Linked DNA regions of Caenorhabditis elegans. The protein of the gene in region 2 purifies or fractionates together with the protein of the main gene of each other region. This does not show direct contact. Each region holds a gene or a part of one and is shown on either strand. Other genes may lie near its edges. The genes, in order: his-67 and nasp-2.

Region 1 (2,840 bases), on a different chromosome or scaffold from region 2:
TCCTAAATTGACAGTTCCCCATCCAAGGCCATGCGAGGGTTCGATTGCAGAATTTTGTGCAATTGAGAAGAAAGATTGAAGCACGGCATGGAAATTTCCAGTAGAAGTTTGACGGAAGACAGTATCAATTGCATGCATCATTCGCAACTTCTGGTTCTGATCCTGATTTCCTGTGATACTGAAAAAGATTGAATTAAAAACAATGAAGAAGGTTTTCCAAGTAAAAACTCACATTTTAGTATCCAAGAGGAAGCTGTCGACATGTGTTAGATAGAGTTTGAATAGATTAGGTGATTCTTTTGTATTAACAACTCCTGCAACATTGATGACTGAATTATTCACTTCCTTGACATTAATCAGCTCTGTTGAGTACACAGTGTGAATTCCATCGAAAACTAACGGGCACTCGATAAGTCCGGGATTCTGTTCTTGCAGAGTTCTCAAAATCGTTCTGTTCAGCTTTTTCGACGGAATATCTGGATCGAATCGAATATAGTATTGATGAATAATCGATCCATTGCACGTGATTTGAAAATGATTGGCGAGAAGTGATAAGAATCGTCCTGTAGTGCTGGGAAGTGGCTTTCCTATCAATTTGAATGGCTCTCTGAAATTTTTAAATGTTTTAATTGTAATTTCTCAGGCATTCACCTGTTTTCTTCAATAGGATGCAGGTAGAGATCATCGGAAACTCTGGATCCAGAAGAACTGCTGAGAAACTGAAAACAATTTTATGTAATCAGCTAAATCCGAATTTTCTTTTTAAAAACCTCATTTTCCAAACTGGGCACGTTGATCGAAGTACTTCTTGATGAAGTGGAACTCCTCACTTTTAACTTTTCGACCAAATCATCATCATAAATTGCCGACAGCAACCATTGGTCTTCCATACCTGAAATTTGTTAATTTAAAAAAACTCAAACTGGAAAACGCAAAGAGACCATCGGCAATGTAAAATGCACGGTATCAGGTAAAACGGGCAACTATTCCAAAAAAATTCCTGAAAGTGAGAAGATTTCAATGAAGTTTTAACTGGTGAATTCTCCAGATTATATTTCGAATAAGAAATGAAAAATATAGCACAAATAGTTTATTGATTTGAACAAAGAGGATTTTCAGAAAATTGTGGCTCTAAAGAGGGCCGTTGGGTTCGGTGGGTTTTTGGATTCGGAAGATATTTATTCCTTATCTCCTCCGGTCTTCTTTGGGAGAAGAACGGCTTGGATATTTGGAAGAACTCCTCCTTGTGCGATTGTCACTCCGGCCAAAAGCTTGTTGAGCTCTTCGTCGTTACGGACAGCAAGTTGAAGATGTCTTGGGGCGATACGGGTCTTCTTGTTGTCACGGGCAGCATTACCGGCCAACTCGAGAACTTCAGCAGCGAGGTATTCGAGAACAGCGGCCAGGTAGACTGGGGCTCCGGCTCCAACACGTTGAGCATAGTTTCCTTTGCGAAGAATACGGTGAAGACGGCCGACTGGGAATTGAAGTCCAGCTCTTGACGAGCGTGACTTGGCCTTTCCTCCGGTCTTGGCTTTTCCTCCCTTTCCACGCCCAGACATTATGAGCGATTGGTGATCGTAAAACTAATCTGAAGAATGAACCAAGACAGTCGCTTTATATTTATTTTTACGGTGGCGGGGCGGAGTTTCCTGCGGGGACACCTCTTTTTGAACATTCGGTAAATTCCTGCGGGGACACATTTATCTCGTTTCTGCGTCTCTCTCACCTTCCTGTATGTCTCGCCTACTAGAGGCCAAAACGGCAGATATCTCTGCAGATGCAAGAGCGGCAGGCACGGAAATGTGTCCCTGCAGGATGGCGCAAACTGACTCCGCCTTTGCACCGCTGTATCTGCATAGGGAGTATATAAGAAGAACTGTTTTCCCAGTTCATCATCATTCGTGAGTCTTCAGCCAATCACTCAACAATGTCCGGACGTGGAAAGGGAGGAAAAGGCCTTGGAAAAGGAGGTGCCAAGCGCCATCGTAAAGTCCTTCGGGACAACATCCAAGGAATCACGAAGCCAGCCATTCGCCGTCTAGCAAGAAGAGGAGGAGTCAAACGTATCTCTGGATTGATCTACGAAGAAACTCGTGGAGTTCTCAAGGTGTTCCTTGAGAACGTTATCCGAGACGCCGTCACTTACTGCGAGCACGCCAAGAGGAAGACCGTCACAGCCATGGACGTTGTCTATGCTCTGAAGAGACAAGGAAGAACCCTGTACGGATTCGGAGGATAATTTCAATTGTCCTCCCGCTTCCATGCAACAACCACCGAACCCAACGGCCCTCTTTAGGGCCACAAATGATAAATCCAAACAGTCCGATTGCAATAAATGTTTATTTTCAATGCTTCAATTTTTTATCTTTTCACTCTTCTAAACGAATTTTACAGATGTTTCTCCAAACTCGATTTTCCACAAAAACGAAAAATCACGATAAAACACAAAGTCTAGACGCACAGTATAGAATTCAATTTGAATTTTCAAAAGAGTTCATTTCAAATCAGATATTACTTTTTAAAGTTATGAAAACTAAATAAATCTCCCAATAAAAAATGCGGTAATTTATATGCGTGAAATTTAGTTTTTTTTGATTGAACTCGAAGCTTCTGGCACCTAGAAAAATTACCGCGCTCTAATAATTATGAACACTCCAGGAGACCGTGTTTGATTGTCTTTTTTTGTGAAAATATTCCGTTTCCCATTGCCACCAGTTTCCCATCGTTTATTGCATACGTCCCATCACTTTTTTCTTATTTTCTGACACAATTTTTTCTTGAATTTTTAGGGTGTTTTTTTTTAATTCTTTGTAAAATTTCCATATAATTATCTTATC
Region 2 (4,639 bases):
GTAATTTCCCCTAATGTCATACATCTCTTATCTTTTCGCAATATGATAATAAGAGATATGTTTCTCTTCTTTGAGCTTTCACATGCTCTCCGCTATATCTCGTTTCCAACATAATCATTCATAACATAAACTCACCACATCTCACGTATCAATTTATTATATAGCACAGCTTTACTTCTTTTTTCGAATTTCACATTTCATTATTGTTTCCACTGCCATTTAATACATTGTCCCACGACATTTATTTATTTTATTTTTTACTTGACTGGTTGCCTTAAACTTTAAATGCTATGTGTTTTTTCATCCACGGGTTTTATGCACGACCTGGTCCCAACACTAACAAACTTAAGAATTACTGCCGAAAAATGTGTGCGCCTTTGAGTAGTACTGTAGTTTCTACACCCATTCTACAGTACTCCTTGAAGTCGCACTTTGGAGGAATATTCATTGTTTGATTTTTGCCGTATGCTCCCACTCTCTTAATAAAACTTAAATTATAATATTCTAAACTATGAATTTCTTGAATGTCTACAGTGATGCTACGTTTTCACCCTGTAGAAGTTGGAAGCTGAATTTAATAAAATCACAAGTCGCCTTCCCATAGCTTGGAATATCTATGAGAAAAAATTGTTCACAAGAAAAAAATTAAACAAACCACGATTTTATAGCACAATTTGAATACATAATAGCAATGGAAATGAACTATAAATCCACATAGATTTAAAGTGAATGGTTGGCTGGTGAGTGGTGAAAAATGAGACCAAACGTTGTGATATTATGGCAAGAAATTGGAGAGAAAGACGACGAATTATTCGTTGATTGGTGTTGGCTCTTCAGTCGACTCCACGACCTGCTCCTCGGTGACGACAGCAACGTCGACTCCATCTCCCGATTTGCGCTTTTTGGTTTCCTCTGGAGCCTCCTCGGAAGCTGGCCGCTTAGTTGGACGACGAACCATACTGCTGATGTCAGTAGCTTCAGTTACATCAGCAACCTTGGCAAGCATAGCAGCAGCTCCTTCGAGTTCTTTCTTGGCATCTGATTTCAACTTTTCGGTTTGTTCAGCAGAGGCACGAGCATCAACGATGAAAGCATCAAGTTCTGGAATGATCCCGTCCAACTCCTTGATTTCAGACTGAATATCACTCTTCGCGTCGTCCGAGACAGTCTCCAACTGCTTCTTCAACTCCTCCGACTTGGCAATAAGGATATTCTTAGTATCATTGAAGTGAGCTGCAGCCTGTTCGAATAACGAGTCCGAGCTGAAGGCCTTAGCCAGAAGATGAGTTGTGTTTGCAATAACACGAGAAGTTGCTGGAAGATGCACCGTTTGGATCGAAATAGCTTCGGTTAAATCTTTTTGTGCTTGTTCATACTTGGAATCAGCAATTCCATGCTCTCCGAGAGAAGTGAGGACATCGGCGAGATTCAACTTCCACATCTTGATGGCTTCCCCGTCCACAGTGCTTTCGGCTGCAAGACTAGCAGCCTTCTTGTCAGCAATGCAACGAGAAGTCTGAAGTTTTGAATGTTCACACTGCCTGATATAATGTCTTAATTACCTCGAGAAGTTCCCAAGCCAACTTCATTGAATCGGCTTCATCGTCTTCGGCTTCATCGTCCTCCTCGGCTTCACCGTCAACTTCTGCGGTTTGTCCAACTTCTTTCTCGTCATTAACTTCTTCGACACCCTCCATCTCTACGTCTTCCGTTGGATCCACCGTAGCCTCATTCTCGACGACCTCCTCTTCTTCCTGATTTTGTTCGTCGGAGTTCTCAACATCCTTTTCCACACTGTCCTCCTCAGCTTCTTTTTGTTCTGTCTTGACAGCCTCGTCAGCAACGGTCTCAGGCTCCTCGGACGCGACTCCAAGAGCTTCTTCTACTTTTTGCTTGATTTCAGCTCGCTCGTCTTCTGAACATTTATTCATTGAAGAAGAAAAGAAAAATAAAACAAAACTGAATCTTACGTGGAACATCTTCAGGGTTTTCGACGATGCCGTCTTGAACTTCTTCCTCTCCCTCAGCCATCTTTGGAACGTCGGTCAATGCGTTGGCTAGCACTCTATCCTCCAGCTTTCCAACTTCAAGAAGGGCCTTTCCATAGAGGAAGTTGGCTTCAAAGGTGTCCTCATGAGCATCTCCAAAAACTTCAGCAGCAATGGAAGCAGCAACACTGAGTACGTCTACGGCCTTGTCGAAAACATCAGTCCTCATGAAGCGGCGCCCAGCAATGATATTTTCCGAGAGGCTCTTTCTCCTGGAATAAAAACCGTTGATTTGAAAAAAAAAAGACGGTAAAACTATACTTTTGCTCAGGTGAAATCTCCTCGACTGGGTTTTCTGGAACTACAAGTTCGCCTTCAATCTCTTTCTGGGAAGTTTCAGAATCTTCGATTGAAGTACCAATTGACACTTCCATTGAAGCCTTTTCGTCTTCAACCACGGCTGGAGTTTCACTCGAAGTGTTTGTCTCTTGAGCACCAGTAGATGCTTCAGCAACATCCTTAACATCGGAGGCTGCAGCTTCGGTTGGAGAGTTTTCCGATGCAGTCTTCTCGTTAGTAGTGGCGGAATCAGTGGATGGAGTAGTCTCTTCAGCAACATTAGTCATTGCGACTTTCTCTTCGCCCGTTGAGTCGACATTCTTCGCGATCGTTTCCTTATCATGAGCGATAATGTTAGTAGAATCAGCAAAAGCGCTCATTATGAAGTTAGTAGTCTGAAAATAATAGATGTGAGAAAAATAAGTGAGATGTTGTTGTAACAAAACAGTAAAGCAATAGAGAGAAACACGAATTAAAATAGAATTAACAAAATGAATGAGAGAAAAGCAAAGAGTTCACGAATGAAATTAAATTCTCATTTTCCTCCAAATGCGAAATTTTCCCGCCTTATCGTTTTTAAATTGCAAAATTTCGCGCCAAGTGCATTCTGTCTATTCTGTCGTGGCGGGACGCGGAGCCAGGGAAAGTGGCAGCGCCTTTAATTTCACTACGGTTTTATCTAATAAAGTGGACCTACCAGCTACCAGCTGTTAGCTACCAGCTCAACAGCGCTGATTATAATAATCGATTACAGAATATAGTTTGAAAATCGTGAAAAAGATTTAAGTCAAAGTTGAGTATATTTGAACTCGGATTCTCCTAGGTCGTCTGTCATCCTTGTCGAAGCAGATATATCGTTCCATTTTCATTATTGATGACGTCGAAATCAATTCATTTTTCTAAATAATTCTCAACTCTTCACACTCAATAAAACATGAAGACAACAAAGAACTATTGAAGAGAGACTGCGGTTTCCTACAGCGATGAAGAAATATTTTTGAATCATGGAGATCTTTACAGAAATAAAATGTTACAGGACCGAAGTCGGAAGAAGATGCTTCCACTTCAGGTCATTTTTATCCGCTCCAAAAGGACGCCATCTAAAATATCTTTTTCCCCATGAATTAGAAAAACATTATATTCGGATCGGTGCAGAAATCACTGGATGCCATGAGACATCAGGTGTTTATGAGCTTTACAAAATTCCCCTTTTTATAATCATTCTTTTGGTGTTCAATTAGAAGAAACCTAATTATTTCGGTGGCATCAAGACAATGTTCCTTTTTTGCCAGAGTTTGAAAAAGTTTTCGCAAAATTTAATTGTTACCATAAGCAACGATGCTCCGATATTTCGGTTGCGCCTTGTTTAATGTCAATCGATTTCTAGGCCGTCGGCCGTGTACTCCTCGTGAAATATTTTCGCAATGATGCTTTTTAAAATGCTTCTCATGATTTTTTATTGCTTATTTAATGAATTCTTACTTTTAAATTTAGAATTGTCAGTTAAAATATTTATTTTATAACCATCTTATACATACATACATTTTTGATTCACATGAAATCCGAAAACCACTCATCTTTTGTGACAATTGTGATTTTCTTAATTTCGAAAGTATACAACTTCTAAATCTTGCTCAAATTGTTTTATTATTTTTATCATATCTTATTGAGTTTTTACGCAATCATTTTAATTAATGGAATTTCTCTAGGCGGGTCCTCACGAAATCACCCGATGGTGGAAGGCGATGTCGACGAATCGGCGTCCGGGACGTCGGGAACCAACAAGAAAATTTTGTTCACAAAAAAGTATGTTGTTAAAATATATATTCTTGATTAAAAAATTAATTAAAATTTTTAGACCCTCGGTATGGAAAGATTTTGATAATTGGATAAATGACGAGCCAGAAAATCGATACGACTTATTTCAAGTGGTAAAATCTGCAATGCTTCTTCAATCAGGATATACAACTATTTTGATGGATCAAGTAACTGATAATGGAGCTGATGAATTGAGAATATCTGTGAGTTGTTAATGTCTTTGTAGCTTAATTTCAACTAATTATTTTCAGCTAGAATATTCCAATTTCATAAAAATTGTCAATAGCACGAAATTGGTAGTAGGCAAAGAACAATGTCCACCTTCAAATGTTTTCACCCTGCTTGCGGAAATATTTGCAAATACACCCGGAAATACTTCGGAAGTCGGGCGAATCAGTACTTGGTTGACCAGCCATCTTGGAGCTCTATTGCATAATGATGTAATCTGGAAGATCCATTTTTTCGATCCCGATCTTTTTCGCTCTGTATACTGG

The links.
Region 1: the proteins of nasp-2 (region 2) and his-67 fractionate together in Caenorhabditis elegans (co-fractionation; one large-scale study listed by BioGRID). This does not show direct contact.

What each region holds. Positions count from the first base shown.
Region 1 is NC_003279.8:9,987,854-9,990,693, reverse strand, and holds his-67 (Histone H4), read left to right. Parts: upstream 1-1,930; coding exon 1,931-2,242; downstream 2,243-2,840. Other genes in the region: alg-5 (Protein argonaute-2), read right to left, coding at 1-178, 233-607, 652-719, 771-890; his-68 (Histone H2A), read right to left, coding at 1,179-1,562. UniProt on the Caenorhabditis elegans protein: Core component of nucleosome. Nucleosomes wrap and compact DNA into chromatin, limiting DNA accessibility to the cellular machineries which require DNA as a template.
Region 2 is NC_003283.11:13,309,539-13,314,177, forward strand, and holds nasp-2 (Tetratricopeptide SHNi-TPR domain-containing protein), read right to left. Parts: upstream 2,723-4,639; 5' UTR 2,708-2,722; coding exon 2,310-2,707; intron 2,261-2,309; coding exon 1,971-2,260; intron 1,916-1,970; coding exon 1,563-1,915; intron 1,517-1,562; coding exon 809-1,516; 3' UTR 648-808; downstream 1-647. Other genes in the region: C50B6.3 (DUF3452 domain-containing protein), read left to right, coding at 4,060-4,133, 4,186-4,348, 4,397-4,639.